Linked DNA regions of Saccharomyces cerevisiae S288C. The gene in region 2 interacts genetically with the main gene of each other region. Each region holds a gene or a part of one and is shown on either strand. Other genes may lie near its edges.

Evidence for each region. Genes that interact genetically often act in the same process or in processes that back each other up.
Region 1: mutations in EMP70 (region 2) and YLL053C together harm fitness more than expected from each alone (negative genetic interaction), as found in Saccharomyces cerevisiae (one large-scale study listed by BioGRID).
Region 3: mutations in EMP70 (region 2) and YVC1 together harm fitness more than expected from each alone (negative genetic interaction), as found in Saccharomyces cerevisiae (one large-scale study listed by BioGRID).

Annotation. Positions count from the first base shown.
Region 1 is NC_001144.5:33,818-37,751, forward strand, and holds YLL053C (uncharacterized protein), read right to left. Parts: upstream 2,145-3,934; coding exon 1,686-2,144; downstream 1-1,685. Other genes in the region: YLL054C (uncharacterized protein), read right to left, coding at 1-1,387; AQY2 (Aqy2p), read right to left, coding at 2,095-2,544; FRE6 (putative ferric-chelate reductase), read right to left, coding at 3,516-3,934.
Region 2 is NC_001144.5:290,326-299,357, reverse strand, and holds EMP70 (Emp70p), read left to right. Parts: upstream 1-3,263; coding exon 3,264-5,267; downstream 5,268-9,032. Other genes in the region: RAX2 (Rax2p), read left to right, coding at 1-2,769; SRL2 (Srl2p), read left to right, coding at 5,786-6,964; galactose permease GAL2, read right to left, coding at 7,422-9,032. UniProt on the Saccharomyces cerevisiae protein: With TMN2 and TMN3, plays a critical role in the late stages of a nutrient-controlled pathway notably regulating FLO11 gene expression. Acts downstream of RAS2 and TOR. Essential for cell adhesion and filamentous growth.
Region 3 is NC_001147.6:485,708-491,419, forward strand, and holds YVC1 (Yvc1p), read left to right. Parts: upstream 1-1,999; coding exon 2,000-4,027; downstream 4,028-5,712. Other genes in the region: TCB1 (tricalbin), read right to left, coding at 1-1,072; Rab family GTPase VPS21, read right to left, coding at 4,489-5,121; type 2C protein phosphatase PTC5, read right to left, coding at 5,416-5,712. UniProt on the Saccharomyces cerevisiae protein: Required for release of calcium ions from the vacuole in response to hyperosmotic shock.

The DNA.
Region 1 (3,934 bases), 260 kb from region 2:
TATTAGTAGAAGCGTAATTTCTCTCAAATAGTTCTGGTAGAGATTCGTCAGTTTTCATAAAGGATCTTAAATATTCCAAACTTAGAATGTCAGAATCTCCTTCTGGAATCAATATTCCAAACTTCAAAAATTGCACGCCAAGCCATAATTTCCTTCTTAAATTGAATAATCTTGGATAATCGTCCGATTCGCTGACGTATCGAGTGTATTGGAAGGGTTCTTCATTCAGTCCTAGCTTTATTGCTACATTCTCCAAAAATTTTAGGTTTAGTATGTCACTGTGAGTAGGATACATGTCAGCTTGATCTGGATTCAAATACCGCAATATGAAAAAATAGAGCAGACAACAAAGTGTATGTTCATTAACATATTGAAAAACGTTCATGAGAGCAAGAAGTTTATGAGCGAGTAGCGTTAAATTATTCGATTTTACACCAAAAGATTCTTTAAATGAATGACTAGTACTTAGACTCAAACGTCTGTAAGAAAAAGCCAATATGATAGTTAGCAGTGTTATTGTCTCCAGTTTTCTTCTAGAGTCTTTGCCCGCAAATACAATGTTATACCCATTAAATTCATTCAATTGCAACAGCTCCCTTATGTTATCTTCGAATAATGATATTTCCAGTAACGGATAGACCGGATATATTGTTTTGTAAAAGTCCACGATTAAGCCATCAACCTCATTCTTATTGAGGAAATATTTGGATAACTCTTCCAAAAGGATGTTTATGGAAATTTTATCATTATTTTCTTCAGGATGCGCTTGTTCATAATCATACGTGTTATACAGAAAATCTATTGGAGGATACAATTTGCTTGTTTTTGAGGTATTTTCAATAAATTTAAGTGCAGCTTTATCAATAAAAAACAAAGGTCCAATATCACCGATTGTTAAGTTAAGTTCTCTTTTTTTATTGTTGGCAGAAACGTTTTCACGATGGCGTTCGACATCAATCAGTATCCTCTCATGTATGCAGGTGGTCAAGGCCTTCGCATACAAATCATGTTGAAGAATGCTATGGAAGGCAAAAGGACTATCAACGATGGTTGTGTTATTCATTACAACAAGCTTGTCGTGTGCATTCGATAAATTCATGGCAAAATTTTTCATTTCCCAGTCTTTAGTACTTGGATTAAGTATGGAAGTAAAGGAACCACTTGCGGACATCGATGCAGGAGTAATGTTTCTAATGTCTCTATGTGGGGCATTTTCGATAGTGGGAGATTTGTTAATCCGTCCTGGTTCCACTTCGTAGCTACAAATCGAGGATGAGGCCTTGCATTTGGAGCAAGTAGGCCAAAGTTTATCACATTTGATTTTCCTTTGCTTACACCGCAAGCAAACAAACGATGGCTTAACCTTTTTCTGAGATGCAATGCTCATATCCAGTGCAGTACACTTATCTTGTCATAGATTTCTGATGGGTAAATAATTACTTCACATCATCTTTGTTTCCAAAGTTTGGCCTCAATGTTGCCTTTAGGAGGAAAAAATGTGAAGAATGCATACTTCTGCCGCTTACGTAAAAACAGAACTCTGACCAGAAGAGATAAAAACAAAAAAAAAATAAAGGACAGTAAATATGAAAAATAAGATATTATTATATTAAATTAAATTAAATTAAATTAAACTACGATGGGAGCGTTATGCCAAAAAAGATAAAATTCTGAGCAGACTACTCTCAGTCTTCCTTCTTTTGACCTGCCGCCTTTTCGGCATTAACGTATGTAGTGTAATCAAGGATTTGTAATAATTGCCACACTGACCAGGCTAAGAAGGCACCCAAAAGTGGGCTAATCCAGTAGATCCAGTGGTAATGAGGGAAATATCTGGCAGCAACGGCGGCACCCAGAGATCTTGCAGGGTTGACACCGGTACCAGTGTAACCGGTCAAAGCCATGTGAGCCATGAATAAAGAAATACCAATTGGAAGCGCAGCCATAAAGTTAGTTTCACGTTTTTCAACAGCAGTCATCAAAACTGTTAAACACAACACAGCAGTACCAAACATTTCCAAAAACAACCCCCTAGATCTGGAACAGCCTAAACCCAAAGCATTAGTAAAGAGAACCTTGCCTGGAGTCATAGCACTAGCGGCACCACCAGCAGCCATCCCAGCAATGATCTGAGGAAACCACATCACTACACATCTGGCTGGTGAGATGGCTCTGGCCAAACACAAAGAGAGAGAAACGGCTGGGTTCAAAGCCCCACCAGAAACACCAGATAGAAAACATCACAGAGAAACCGAAACCAAGGGCAATCATGATCAATTGACCTGGATGAGAGCCCTCAGGCTCGGTTGTCAAAGCCACATCATGGTTAGCGACATTACAAATGACGTAAGCACACCATAAAAACATGAAGGTACCGCAAAACTCACCCACAGCAGCGATAAAGTGGTTTCTTAAGGTATCTCTGTCAATATTAAAACGCGAATGCTTCGTTTCCGGCTGTTCAGGTGGAATATAAGCATTGTCAACACCGGTCGGGTCCAAGTGCGAAATGTTTTTTTCAAGGTCGTTAGATTCGTTAGACATAGTATAACTAAGGTAGGCTAGTGTCGCTTTTGAATATTTTCAGGAATTGTAATAGCCAGGAACAAGAAAAAAGACATGCGCACACTAATAAGCTACTAAAACCAACATATTTATACTATCAACCGAGAGAGGGGCAGATATGATTCACGATAAAAAGTTAATAAAAGGATAACAGCGGCGCTCTAATTCGTTAATGAAAGCCATAGTCCGGTATGGACAAAAACTATTTCCTTCTTTTTTTTTTTTAGGTTTTTTTTTAATTTGCACTTGCAATAATCTAATTCACTGTAGGAGTTTAAAGAAAAACATCTAGAAGGATTGGAGGAGGTAAGTCATTATTATGGCGGTGCTCTTTTAGCGGGAAAAAAAAAAATACACCTACGACGTTAAAACAGATCGTGCTGTCGTCTCAGCGGCAGTAAAAGTACTGTAGTAGTTACGGTGCACGCAGATGCAATGCTAATTAAATAATCATGCTCCCATTTTTAAGAAGCAGAAAAAGGCCGCAGTAATTTGAGCCGTGAAAAGATTTCGGAGGGTTGATTCTTAACATTTTCCAAAAAAATGTCCTTTGGTCTGTTTGCTTGGGTCTGAAAAGAAGGACTGCAGCGCCACCTCCACTGGTTAAGGACAAAATCCATACTTATTCCATCTTTCTCGGGACATATTTTCCTGAGACAAAAGACCGTAGAACTTCAAAGACTCGTTCCCAGAAAGGGATTTAGAGTTAATTTTTGCTCGGCATCAAGCCGGAAAAATTCAGGCGCCGCTTAGTAATTAATTGCAAGTAAAGAAGTACCGGATTTATTAGACATCGTCTTAGCAAGCAAATTCCTGAAAGCTAAAACGCAAATAATTAACTAAAAATAGTTGCTAAAGAGCACCTTTTATGCGGTACATAAAAGTTTTTAGTGCCGTAGATATATGTAGATATAGGTGGGCGTAGGATCAGAAGGAGCCGGAGAGAAGATTTACCAACACTGATATTCCTCGAAATACTCTATAATTCTCTCTGGGTAACCGAGGAGTTTTTGAGAAACGGTGTTTCTAACATCGTCCACCAGAACAGGAGGGCCGCAGCACACGACCGCTAATGAATCTCCAGGCGGCGTACTTTTTATTGCGTTTTCAATTACATTGCTAAAATTAGGTCTTGCATTGCCGATGTGGGCGAAGCTTGTCAGTTCGGTCATTATATCATCAAAATGTATTAATTGGTCTCGTGCGTTTGCTGCCTTTGTAACAGCTGTTTTCTGTGTAAGGTAAACCTGCACGTTGACGTGGGATCGGCTATTTTTTAGCTCTAGTATCTCGGATTTATAGCCGTTAAGAAAAGAAGGATTTTTGATCGCCATGATCAAATCTATACTCTTGGGTTTATCAGGGTTTC
Region 2 (9,032 bases):
TATGAAGTTTCACCAACAAAAATAAGGCTTTATAATTCCCAACGTTCCGATAGTGAAATCTCCGTGTTCCAAATTCTGACTGATCCATCCAGTAGCATAATGAATTTAACGTATCTGGACCCACTAAGTGGGGAGTTGAAGAATTGCGGTGAATTTTGCCCTTTGTATAGCCGAGCCACTTTATTATCAGCAAGCCAAAATGTATCTTCATCCATGGACATGATTACCTTCATCGATAACAACAAGACAGACGTAAAATGGACGTCAGATTTCCAAGACTTTGCGTTTGTGAATGAACTTCCCGTTTCATCGTTAAAATTTGTAGCATTAAATTCATACGGTGGTAGTGTTGGATTATCCGGTTTGGAGCTCTATCAGGACACATTCTCCACTTATGCTAATGATTCTCTCAACGAATATGGCTGCAGCGCGCTTACCAATGATTCGTCGTCATCTACATTGTCGAGCAATGATTGGTATAATGGTCTAACAGGTGAAAGTTATATAGCCGCGAAATATGTTCCAGATCAAAATGAGCCAATTCCACGCGTAAAGTTTTACCCAAACATTATCCACCCCGGTCACTACACTATCAACATGTATACACCAGGGTGTCTTCAGGATAATACGTGCTCCGCAAGAGGTATTGTAAACGTGACCATGTGGAATCAACAAAATAACACAATAATGAAGACGTACTTGATTTACCAGAATAATGATAATCTAAAATATGATCAAATCTACTCGGGATATCTAGATTTCTCACCGGAGATCGTTTTGGAGTATGTCTCAGGAATTTATACAACCAACACTGCAACAGTGGTCGTGGCAGATCAAGTTAATGTCATTACTGTTTCTTTAGATGCTTTTAACACACTTTCAGATTCTAGCAACGCTAAAAAAGAAACTTTATTGAATGGTATTCTCCAATACCAGAAATCAAACTTTACCAGCACGAGATTGAACGAAACAAAGGTAGGTAATACTACTTTGAATCTTTTCCCAGTAAAAAATTACCCTAAAAATTCTTCCCTTTATGCTGACATTTACGATAACAAATTAGTAATTGGTGGAGTAAGCAACCGTATTTCCATTGTCGACCTTAATGACGACTTTGAGGTTACATCAAGTAAAAACCAAACCATTCAAGGTGATGTACATGGTATAACGAAAACTAACCAAGGTTTACTAATATTTGGAGATATTCTTTCATCAAATAATCAATCAGCTGTTTTTTTGTTTAATGGATCATTTGAGAATGTCTTCAACCAATCGAGGACAGTGAATAGTGCCCTTAATATAAGTCTTGCAAATAACGACTTTATTGTTCTTGATAACGATTATGTGGTCAATGCATCTTCCAATGCGCTTATACGGAACTCCAGTTCCTTTAGTCTATCACTTTGGGCGGCTGGTAACAATGGCGATGGCGATGTTTTGTTTTCAGGTGCAGTATCTCATATGCAATATGGTAATTTGAATGGGTCTGTACGTTTTTTGAACGAAAATGAAATAGAGCCACTTAACCTAGAAGGGGGTATTGTACCTTACCTGGGAGCTTATTTAAATGAGTCTGCCACGGCATATGCATATGAGGTGGATTCTCTAAACAAAATTTATTTTTCTAATGAAGTTTATCCTTCCTGGAATTGGTCTAGCGGTATTACTCAAATGCTATACGCTGATAATCAAACTTTACTAGCTGTCAGTGCAGGATCTTCAACCACAGCAGAACTGTCGATTTTTGATTTGAGAAATTTGACCATGATTGCTAATGAAACACTAGGATCAAATGCTAGAATAAATGCTTTAGTTAACTTTGAAAAAAACTGTAGTATGCTTGTCGGCGGAGATTTCCAAATGACTGAGCCGAATTGCACCGGATTATGTCTATACAATTATGAAAGCAAAACTTGGTCTACCTTCCTCAATAACACGATTTTTGGTGAAATCACACAACTTTCCTTCACCAACTCATCAGAATTAATTATCTCAGGCCTTTTTGAAACAAAAGAATACCAATCTATACGTTTAGGATCCTTTAACTTAACCAATTCTACTATGATTCCATTATTGAGTGGTTCTGAAGGGAAACTGAATTCGTTTACTGTCACTGAAGACTCCATAGTGGCATGGAATGATACTTCATTATTTATCTATAGAAACCAAGAATGGAATATTACCTCGTTACCTGGCAATGCTAGCTCTATTAGCTCTGTTTCAGCTATATACACAGATATTGAATCCAACACTTTGAACAAGAGAGGAATCAACAATGTTAATAATGGCAGTATCCTCTTACTTAATGGTAATTTTAATATTTCGCAATACGGATACCTACAAAGTTTGTTGTTTGATTTCCAAAAATGGACCCCATATTTTATTTCAGAAACAACAAATACTTCCAATTACAATCCAATAATTTTTATTAATAGAGACGTTTCAACTGAATTCAACTCTCAGTCACCACTTGCCAATGTGAACATTACTGTGACAAGTCCTCAGTCAACATCATCCCAGCCTCCATCTTCATCGGCAAGCAGTGAATCTAAATCAAAATCGAAGAAGAAGAAAATAGGTCGTGGTTTTGTCGTTTTAATTGGTCTTGCACTAGCATTAGGGACAGTTTCTGTCCTTGGTATTGCAGGCGTCATTCTTGCCTACGTGTTTAAGGATCCAGAGGGTGATTATAAGCCCATTAAACCGCGAATTGATGAGAATGAAATGCTTGATACCGTCCCACCCGAAAAACTTATGAAGTTTGTCTAATCGGGGTTGTATTATATAATATATAACTACTTAAAATAATGAACACTTAATATAATAAACAAAAATAAAATAGGAAAATCCTAAGTTGATCAAAACTTAATAAAAATTACTACTTGCACTGGAATGTTAGTAGTAAATTCAACACGTATTGGAAGTCACTTGGAATGTTACCAATACTGCCTGAGAATGAGTGATTTTAACTTATAATACAAAAGTCCGGGTTACAGCCCTTTAAATTTTTTTCACGGCAATTTTTCTTTACTTGGTGAAGCCATGAAAAATGTCATCGGTTCGAAGAAATAGGCCTAATGATAAACAAAAAGGTAATTCAAGGTTTTTGAACTGCTTTGTTGTTTTTATTTGTATCTTTTTTTGGTACGTTAGTTAAGTTAATTTTTGGCTCCTTGTCCAGCTTTTCCTTCATCTGCTACCGTTATATTTTCAGATATTAATTTAGTAGCAGAGAGCAAGTACCGAAAGGAAAACAAAACAGAATGATTTACAAAATGGCACACGTACAGCTTTTGTTGTTGTATTTTTTTGTGTCAACAGTCAAAGCCTTCTATTTACCAGGTGTAGCGCCTACCACTTACAGGGAAAATGACAACATCCCATTGCTCGTTAATCATTTAACTCCATCAATGAATTATCAACACAAAGATGAGGACGGTAATAACGTTTCTGGCGATAAAGAAAATTTCTTGTACTCATACGACTACTATTACAATAGATTCCATTTTTGTCAGCCTGAAAAAGTCGAAAAGCAACCTGAATCCTTGGGATCCGTTATATTTGGTGATCGAATTTATAATTCACCATTCCAATTGAATATGTTACAAGAAAAAGAGTGTGAATCCCTGTGTAAGACCGTAATTCCGGGAGATGATGCTAAATTCATCAATAAATTGATAAAAAATGGCTTCTTCCAAAACTGGCTTATTGATGGATTACCGGCTGCAAGAGAGGTTTATGATGGCAGAACTAAGACTAGTTTTTATGGTGCTGGCTTCAACCTTGGTTTTGTACAGGTAACTCAAGGAACCGACATTGAGGCTACTCCAAAAGGGGCAGAAACCACCGATAAGGATGTGGAATTGGAAACACGTAATGATCGTAACATGGTGAAAACTTACGAATTGCCTTACTTTGCCAACCATTTCGATATTATGATTGAATATCACGATCGTGGTGAAGGTAACTATCGTGTAGTTGGTGTTATCGTCGAACCGGTTTCCATAAAACGTTCCAGTCCAGGTACATGTGAAACGACTGGCAGCCCATTGATGCTAGACGAAGGAAATGATAATGAAGTTTATTTTACTTATTCCGTTAAATTCAATGAATCAGCGACTTCTTGGGCCACCAGGTGGGACAAATATTTACACGTATATGATCCTTCTATTCAATGGTTTTCTTTGATAAATTTCTCCTTAGTTGTTGTCTTATTGTCATCTGTTGTTATCCATTCGCTATTGCGCGCACTGAAAAGTGATTTCGCACGTTACAACGAGTTAAATTTGGACGATGATTTTCAAGAAGATTCGGGTTGGAAATTGAATCATGGTGATGTTTTTCGTTCGCCAAGTCAATCGCTAACCCTTTCAATTTTGGTTGGTTCAGGAGTTCAATTATTTTTGATGGTAACTTGCAGTATCTTCTTCGCTGCATTGGGTTTCCTATCACCTAGTTCTAGAGGTTCCTTAGCCACTGTTATGTTTATCTTATATGCATTATTCGGGTTTGTCGGCTCTTATACATCTATGGGCATCTACAAATTTTTCAATGGGCCATACTGGAAGGCAAACTTGATATTGACTCCACTTCTAGTTCCTGGTGCTATTCTGCTAATAATTATTGCGTTGAACTTTTTCTTAATGTTTGTTCATTCTTCTGGTGTCATACCAGCAAGTACTCTGTTTTTTATGGTTTTTCTATGGTTTTTGTTCTCAATCCCATTATCATTTGCTGGTTCATTGATTGCCAGGAAAAGATGTCACTGGGATGAACATCCAACCAAGACAAACCAAATCGCAAGACAAATACCCTTCCAGCCTTGGTATTTAAAGACTATACCAGCTACTTTGATTGCTGGTATCTTTCCATTTGGCTCCATCGCCGTTGAGTTGTATTTCATATACACAAGTTTATGGTTTAATAAGATTTTTTACATGTTTGGTTTCCTCTTTTTCTCTTTCCTCCTATTAACTTTGACAAGTTCACTCGTCACTATTTTGATCACTTATCATTCCTTATGCCTGGAGAACTGGAAGTGGCAATGGAGAGGATTCATAATTGGAGGCGCCGGTTGTGCTTTGTATGTGTTTATTCATTCTATTTTATTCACCAAATTTAAGTTGGGTGGATTCACGACTATTGTCTTATACGTGGGATACTCCTCAGTCATTTCATTACTCTGCTGTTTGGTAACGGGGTCAATTGGCTTTATCAGCAGTATGCTCTTTGTTAGAAAAATCTACTCATCCATTAAAGTTGACTAGGCCAACGAAAAAGAGGTCCTATATGTTGGGTTAGGGCGTTTTTTATTTATTTCTCTACTGTTTATCTTTTTTAACAAAGAAAATGCTAGGCCCTATGGCCTTTGGACATGATACATAGTTTTTAGTAATATTTTTTTCAAAAAGATTAAAAGTACTATAGGATTCGAAGTTGTAATTTTTGGTGTATATACATTTATTTATTTGAATCTTTTTTCCATGATTCTGGAATGACATTCTGCGTTACAGTTTGGGAATAAATGCTCCTTTAAGGAAATAATATACAGCTTTAGTGTACAGGGTTAATCTATAGCCACATTAAAAGGACTTGATTATGACTTAAAATAAGTGACACTGACGCTTTAATATTCAGTCCGGGTGATGCTGTCATCTAGGACAAAACAATGGGAGTGGATAAGTAAGCAAGTAATAAGATAAAACAGTATTAGAAATTGGTAGTAGGCTGAAGCTTGTTGAAGCTGGTGGACAGAAAAACGCTTATATTGTGAAGATCCTTTTGGATGTCCAACTTTAAGAATTTTACTTTAAATTCCTTTGAAGATTATTACGGAAAGCCCTCTGAAACGCCAAAAATGGAGGAAGAGAAATTGGAAGTAACAAATGTGAATGCGTCCTCTTCAAAAAAAGTACATAAAAGCAAAAAGAGCACTTCAAAATATGACCAAAAGAATGTATTTAGAAACTCAATGACAGGAATTGCACAAATACTGCCAACAAAACCTGTGAAAATTATAGAGCAGAATATTGATTTTGCCAATCCGAAGAGCTTCGACCTCCTGCAATCTACACATACTATTTGCTTTAATAAAAGAATTAACACTACTAATACCAAGTTGAATGTGGAAACTCATACTTCTAGTGATATTGACAACGACATATTGCACGTTGGAGCCCCCACAGACTTGGGGGGAAACAGTAATGACGAAGCGGAAACAAGGCAACTAAGGAAGTTTCGATGGTCCAATAATAAAGAAAAAAGTCTTTGTGAAAAGTTAACAGTCATATATTGGGCCCTCTTGCTCCACACAACAAAGAGAGCAAGTAAAAGGAGACCTATATTATGTCATCAAATGATAGCTGAGTTTTTTAACAGAGTTTATAAGGAGAAATCAAGAGTACCTATAACTTCAAGATATATTAGAGATAACCTCGTCGCTTGGGTCACTCAAGGAAAGGAATTGCATGAAAAAGGTTGGGTAGGGGATGCCAAAACTGGCGATTTGCAAGAACAGTTCAATATAGCCACTGTCAAATTATATGAAAGCGCAGAAGACGGGCGTCTTTCCATTGGTAAAGACAAACCCTTTCGAGAGGAAAACACCGGCAGTGATAGTTTGGTTCGAGCGGAAGAGGACTCTACCGCTGTCACTAATGAAAATGGACATATTTCTTCAGAAAAAAACTTGAAAAAAGATCGTAGAGAGTCTATAAGGAACCAAATCCTGACTTTAGACCTAAATGACGAAGATTTTTTCCAAAATGTAATGAAAGTTTTATCAGCCATTGATGAACCAGAACTGAGACAATATGTAATCGTAATCTCAGAATTAGTTAGCATGGAAATGGATGATGGTAAAACGGTACGAGAAAAGCTCCGAGACGTTGAATTGAATATTAATAGGTTGCAGGTTGATATAAAAGAAATAAAGGAAATGCTTGTTACACTGATAAACAAATGACTGAAAAAAGCAACTCCTGGATCGTTCGAACATTCTCACTCCATTAATTGTATGTTAGCTCAGGAATTCAACTGGAAGAAAGTCCAGGCAAGTACCTGACTTATTTTCTAGAGGACCCCCCAGAGATAAGTCTGGTGATGTGGTCCTTTAATAATTTCATAGGGACAATTCATTTTGCGTTTTTAATTTTGCTCGGTGAACAAAGGATGGCAGAGCATGTTATCGTTTTCTTTTTTTTTTCCTGTTTTAGAGAAAAAGGTTATATATGTAATAATACTCTGATATATGTACACAAATAATAGGTTTAGGTAAGGAATTTATATAATCGTAAGGATATCATTGATAAGGGAAATTTTTTTTTTTTTTTTTCAAACAAATACTATGATAATTAAAATGAAGAAAAAACGTCAGTCATGAAAAATTAAGAGAGATGATGGAGCGTCTCACTTCAAACGCATTATTCTAGCATGGCCTTGTACCACGGTTTGTCGTCATGTTGTAAATCCTCTAAATCGTAATTATTACCTCTTCTGGATGAAGGAATCCAGCCTTCAGATTTCCAAGGTAAAACACCTTCTTCCCATAATTCTTGAATTTCTTCTAACGATAGGCCTTTAGTTTCTGGAACAAAGAAAAAGACATAAAAAAACATGGCAACCAAACAGCCCATGAAGACATAACCGTAGTAGAAGTTAATGGCAGATGTGATGAATGGGGTGAAAAATGCAATCAAGAACCCCCATACCCAATTGGAAGCAGAGGCCAACGCCATACATTTCGACTTGACTCTCAGTGGGAATGATTCTGCTGTGATGACCCAGGCAACTGGCGCCCAGGTTGTGGCATAACAGAAAATATAAAAACAGGTAAAGACAATCATACAGTTACCGGCACCTTTAGAAGATGGCTGGCTTTTACCGTGAGGATATAATCTAGTAACACCAACAGAGGCGTAGATGACCATACAAGCCATCATAGTGGCAGCGCCCAAAAGTAAACATTTACGATGTCCCAAGTTTTCGACAGTCCACAAACTAAAGAAAGTGGAGGCAAAGTTGACTACACCAATGACAATGGATGTTTCAAAGGAATCATCCAGGCCAACTGACTTGAAAATAACGGTACCGTAGTAGAAAAAATAATTGTTACCGGTTAATTGTTGGAACATTTGAACAAACACACCCATCAACAAACGTTGAAATACTTTGGTCTTGGTGGAAAATAATTCCCCCCAGGACGCATTGCCAGCCAGTTTTTCAGCTTCTATACCGGCCATGATCAGATCTAACTCTGCCTGGACGGCAGGATCCTCTGGTGACACCTTGTTAGACTTAGCAATGGAACGCTTGGCGTCTTCTACCTTATTCACCTCACATAAATAACGTGGGGATTCAGGAACTAACGTCAAAGCGCCAATCATAAATAATGACCAAGCGAAACATAGCCCTAATGGAACTCTCCATTGAACTGAGTTCGAATAGCTCTTTGTACCGTAATTAGTACAGTAGCCCAAAAAGATACCTGCAGTAATCATCAGCTGATAACAAGAAACTAGTGTGCCTCTCAAGTGCTTTGGAGCAATTTCAGAGATCAACATAGGACATAAGACGGCGATGCCGCCGACACCCAAACCAGATATGATTCTACCAATGAAATATTGGTACCACTTGTTGATAGAGGCAATTTGAATGATAATACCAACTATATAAACCGAGACGACAATCGAAAGACCCTTTTTACGGCCATACATATCTCCACCTTTGGAAAGTATAATACCACCAAAGGCACAGCCAATATTGAAAATGGCGACGATTAAACCTGTTCTGACGTTTGACAAATAGTGGGTACCATCCTTATGTTTCATACCAAACCTTCTCAAAAAGTCTGTTTGGACAACAAACCCAGAAATAGTACCGGTATCCCAGCCAAACATGAAGCCGCCGAAGGCAACACACAAACAAAGCAAGGAAACGGTAACATATTCAGACATGGGCTTCTTGGGTATCTCTATAGGAACACTTTGGGAGCCTTCAGACCCTGACTCACCGGCTTTCAATTCATCATTAGA
Region 3 (5,712 bases), on a different chromosome or scaffold from region 2:
TCTTGGCCATCTTTTGTATTAGTGTCATAAGGCCTGGGATAGCTAAAATTTCCCAATTGAAGATGGAACGGCCGAATAAGGTAGCAACAAAATCAAAATCAGGAACCTTCAGTAGCTGGATATTAACAGTTTCGACATGAGGGAAGGGAGTCATCAATTTGAATTTCACTCTAGCATGAGCCTTGAAAGCAATGTCTGACACAGAAACAGGGATGGTGATACCAAAAATTTTGGCCTTAACAACCGCTAATTCATTAACGTAATTTCTGACTTGCTTAGCACTCATGTCGCATAAATCGTGAGGAGTAAAAGAAATACCCCAGTCCATCACAACAACATCGGATGCAGTGTTTTGGAAAGTCTTCACCAAATCAACTCTGGGGGGTTTAACACCAAGTGTCAACTCATCGATCCATAGTTGAGTAATAAATTTGGGAATCGCCTCATTAGTAGCCATTTGTTCATTAGCTTGCTGAACGATTAATTGACTAACGGAAGGTTCTAAAATGGGCCAGTACTTATCCAAAAAGGCATTCAACCATTCTAGGGATTCATAGTCGTTTTCCACTTTCTGCACCGTGAACTCTTTCTGGACTAACTCTCTTATGGAACCTCTGTATTTTTTAGCAGAGGTTCTATACAACAATGAAGTGATAACGATGACAAAAAAGGCCGACCCCATTGAAAACTTATAATGACCAAGTGCAAATGATGCCACGCCTCCGATAAAGAAAATGGCTACCGAATGATACCAGTCACCGTAAAGGCTGTCCGGTATGATGTTATCTAAGAAGGTTTCTCTAGTCATATCCATCAATTCATCATCTAAAGTTAATTCGTCTTTGTCTTCCCAGCCACCAATCTGTTTCCAGCCGACATAAGAAGCTTCATGGATACTTCTCTTGAAGCTTTCATCACTAGCATGTGCCGCCTTCTCAGATGACACGCTTTTACTGGATTCGGTTTCCTCTTTCGTCTTTGGAGGTTCTAACTTATCTATCCCATTTATGTTAGCTACTTGGGCTGTTTCGGGCTTCTTTGGTGCTGTTACCCCAGTATCTTCTTTGGCCATATTGTATGTACCACGCAATTGAAGTTTTCAGAATGCACTAGCTATCTTTTTTTATCTTAGCTATTCTTCTTCAATTATCCTACTTATTCTTCAGCAAAAAAAAAATAATAAGCTAAGACAATGCTATACAAGTCAATTACCAGCCAGTAAGTCCAAATTGGAGTAGCCAATGCTATTAGTTGATAATTTTGACGGCCGATTATACTATTCCAATTGCAGCAACATCCCTGTCCCTTAGCTTTTTGAGGGGCCTTTTGTTATAATTTTTCATGCAGCATTCCGGTCGCCAAAGTTGTTATCACTTCTAACGTAAATCGTTTTCTCGTTATGTCCGCTATTTTAGAATGAGAATAATGGATAAAATTGGCCTAAAAAGGGAGCGAGTATAACGTTACTGAGATACAATTGTACATTTTGCCATGGAAATGAGCCAACTAGTCTAATGAGATTTTCAATGCTTTATTTCTTTTTTTAGTTTCTCATTTTATTGTTTCTCTAGTTATTAGTCCTTTGGTTATTTTTATGTCACCACCTCTTGTCACATGACCATTTTTGTTACTTGCTTGGTTTTACAATGATTTATACATTCTTGGGCCTCTCTTGACATATTTTTATCGTCATAATAAGTTCTTCATTCGTTCTCTAAAACAACAAAGTTAGACTCCATGGCCAAGTTGGTTAAGGCGTGCGACTGTTAATCGCAAGATCGTGAGTTCAACCCTCACTGGGGTCGTTAATTTTTTAATTTTTCTCCTACACTGTTGCTATGTCGGAGTTATCTCATAAGAGCTGAAAATATGTGGTAAATTTAGTCAGTATCCTTCGAGGATCAGCTAGAGCCTATTCAATGCAATTGTCATTAATCAGTGGCTTGGTAAGGCAATAGAATTCAGTTATAAAATATAATATTACTAGAACAGGAGCATTATGGTATCAGCCAACGGCGACTTGCACTTGCCAATTTCTAACGAACAGTGCATGCCGGAAAACAATGGATCTCTTGGATTTGAGGCCCCCACTCCGAGACAGATTCTCAGGGTTACGTTAAATTTGAAATACTTAATTGATAAGGTCGTACCTATTGTTTACGATCCCAATGATATTGTTTGTGACCATTCTGAGATTTTATCTCCAAAAGTTGTGAAGCTGGCTTATGAAGCATGTGGCGGGAACCCTAAAGACAAGGCCAACAAAAGAAAATATCAATCTGTCATTATTTTTTCACTTCTTAAAGTTTGTGAGTGGTATTCCATATTGGCCACTATGGAAGTGCACAATGCCAAACTTTACGAAACCAGAAATTTAGCCTCACAACAGTTATGTAAATTGTTAATTGAAAGGGAGGAGACAAGAGACCTGCAGTTTCTTTTCATGCAGTTACTGCTGCGTCGGTACGTAATCAACGAGAACGATGAAGATCAAGAACCGTTGAATGCCTTGGAACTTGCCACAGATATGCACTGTACTACAGTGATAGGATCGAGTGGATTTCAGCGTTGTTTAAAATGGATATGGAGAGGATGGATAGTCCAAAATGGCTTGGATCCCACAACTTTTATCAAGGACGATTCACTGGCGGAAGTGTCATTGATCTCTCATTTCAACCCCGTAAGATTAAAGGCGCCTGTATACCAAAATTATTTGCAGATGATCTTCTCATTTTTGTTTCTAGGGCTTTATACCTTGGTGGTTAATGGTAAGGACTCTGAGAGAGTCCAATCTTTCGATTTGTTAGAAAGCATATTTTATGTTTTCAATACTGGTTTCATCTTGGATGAGCTCACTAAGCTTTATTATATTGGTTATGCGCACCTATCGTTTTGGAATTTATTTAATGATACCACATATTTGATAATCACGTTTGCTATGGGGTTCCGTGCAATGAGCGTAACGCCCCTTAATGCAAAATACTCTTCAGAAGATTGGGATAAAATATCATATAGAGTCTTATCCTGTGCAGCACCATTTGTGTGGTCGAGACTCCTACTATACCTTGAATCACAAAGGTTTATTGGGATTATGTTGGTTATCCTAAAACATATGATGAAAGAATCCATTGTATTTTTCTTCCTTCTATTCTTAATAATGATAGGATTCACTCAAGGTTTCTTAGGTTTGGATTCCGCAGATGGTAAGAGAGATATCACCGGACCCATCCTGGGTAATTTAACAATCACCGTTTTGGGTCTTGGTAGTTTTGATGTTTTCGAAGAATTCGCTCCCCCATATGCGGCAATACTGTATTATGGTTACTATTTTATTGTTTCGGTTATCCTTTTGAATATATTAATTGCTTTGTATTCGACTGCGTACCAAAAAGTTATTGACAATGCAGATGACGAGTACATGGCTTTGATGTCACAAAAGACGTTGAGATACATTAGAGCACCTGATGAAGATGTCTATGTTTCTCCATTGAACTTAATTGAAGTGTTCATGACACCTATCTTTCGTATTCTTCCACCGAAGCGTGCTAAAGATTTGAGCTATACTGTAATGACAATAGTGTACAGCCCATTTTTGTTGCTTATTTCTGTTAAAGAAACTCGGGAGGCTAGAAGGATAAAATATAACAGGATGAAAAGGTTAAACGATGATGCCAATGAATATGATACTCCATGGGATTTGACAGATGGCTACTTGGATGATGATGACGGTTTGTTTTCTGATAACCGAAATTCTGGCATGAGAGCCACCCAGTTAAAGAATTCCCGTTCGCTAAAACTGCAAAGAACAGCAGAGCAGGAAGATGTCCATTTTAAAGTCCCTAAGAAGTGGTATAAAAACGTTAAAAAATGCAGTCCCTCCTTCGAACAGTATGATAACGATGACACTGAAGATGATGCTGGTGAAGATAAAGATGAAGTCAAAGAGCTCACTAAGAAAGTGGAAAACTTGACAGCTGTAATTACCGATCTACTCGAAAAATTAGACATAAAGGATAAGAAAGAGTAAACGACATGTGTTCAAATACTGCTTAATTAATTTCTCAGAAATCCATATATATATATATATATTGCTCCTCATTGCAACTTTGTAAATTTAATGTTCCTTTAATTTATCATTATTTACAATATTAACTAATCCATCTCCCGATTTTCGGCATAAAATAAGTTTATATTTTGGTCTACATGAAAACAAAAGTTTAACTAAACTAACGTGTACAAACCACTTTGAAACGTATATAAAGGTCTAATAAAAACGACTGGCGTTTTGAAAGATAATATAATGATCTAATGCAGTTAAAAAATTTACAAATTATAAGAAGAAAAGAAAAACAACGATTACGGTAAAAAATGAAAACTCCCTCTCCTTTCTAGGTACGATAAATTATGACTTTCATCTTTCCCGTTTTGAAGATCTATTTATCTCAATTTGCCCAGACTTTTTTTTTATATATATTTATTTTCCCCTCTCTAACAACTGCAAGCACTGTTTGCGCTGGTCCCATCATTAGCAGCGTTCAAATCCACTCTTTGATTGTTCGACTCACGTTCGTTACTTGCACTATTTTGCTCTTCAGCCGTCTTCAGTGGTATCTTTTCACCGATTCCCAAAAATACATCGTTAACATTCTCTCCTGTCTTTGCACTTGTTTCAAAGAACAACAAGCCCTTTTCTTCCGCTAGCTTTTCACCTTCTTCCCTTGCGACTTTTCTTTCCCCACCTTCTTGCAGCATATCGATCTTGTTACCAACTAACGCAATGATGATATCCTTTGATGCCTGTTCATGTAATTCCTTAACCCAGTGGCGCGCTTTAATAAAGGATTGTGGTTTTGTAACGTCGTATACTACAAGAGCAGCTTGTGCGTTTCTATAGTACATAGGTGCTAAAGATGCAAATCTCTCTTGCCCAGCAGTGTCCCATATTTCAAACTTAACAGTATGTTCATTTATAGTAACTCTTTGAGTGAGGAATGCTGCACCAATGGTGGGCTCCTTATTTTCGGCAAAATCATTAGATACAAACCTTAGGACTATTGACGATTTACCAACTGCTGCCTCACCCAACAGTACCAACTTTATGGAAGTGACTGATGTGTTCATTTTTTTGTGTGATAAAAGGGATATTTTTTTATAGCTTAGATAAGTCGACGATCTTGCTTTTTATTTTTAAAATCGTTGCCACTTTTATAAGATAAGCTGCTCGTATTTTCACCTCACTTCTCTTTCTTTGTCTTTTCGGGGATATTGTTTTAGCAAAAAGCCCCATAATGCAAACCGAGAAAACCAAAAAAAAAAAAAACACGTATGAGGTGACAAGAAACTAGATAATCAGCAGACTAATATCTATAAAATAAATCCTCTGGTATATACCTACCTCAGCATAAGTTTATATCGTCATAATCTAGGTTTTGGCTTTGTTGTTGCCTCCGGGTTCATAACTATTGAAGTAGCATTGGAGACAATTGAGGGTGTTCCAGAATCACCAAAGAACGCCACTGTTACTGTCAAGTCATCTCTGTATCTTCTACTCATCGGCGATGGTATACTTACCAATGCCGATACATATTCTTTTCTTCCGCCCGCACTTAATGCATTTCTAATTAAATGAGTGGCGACGTTTTTGTCTTCAATAAGATACTCTGGGTTTGATCCTGATGGTGAGCTCGAATTATTATCCTTGTACCTGAATGC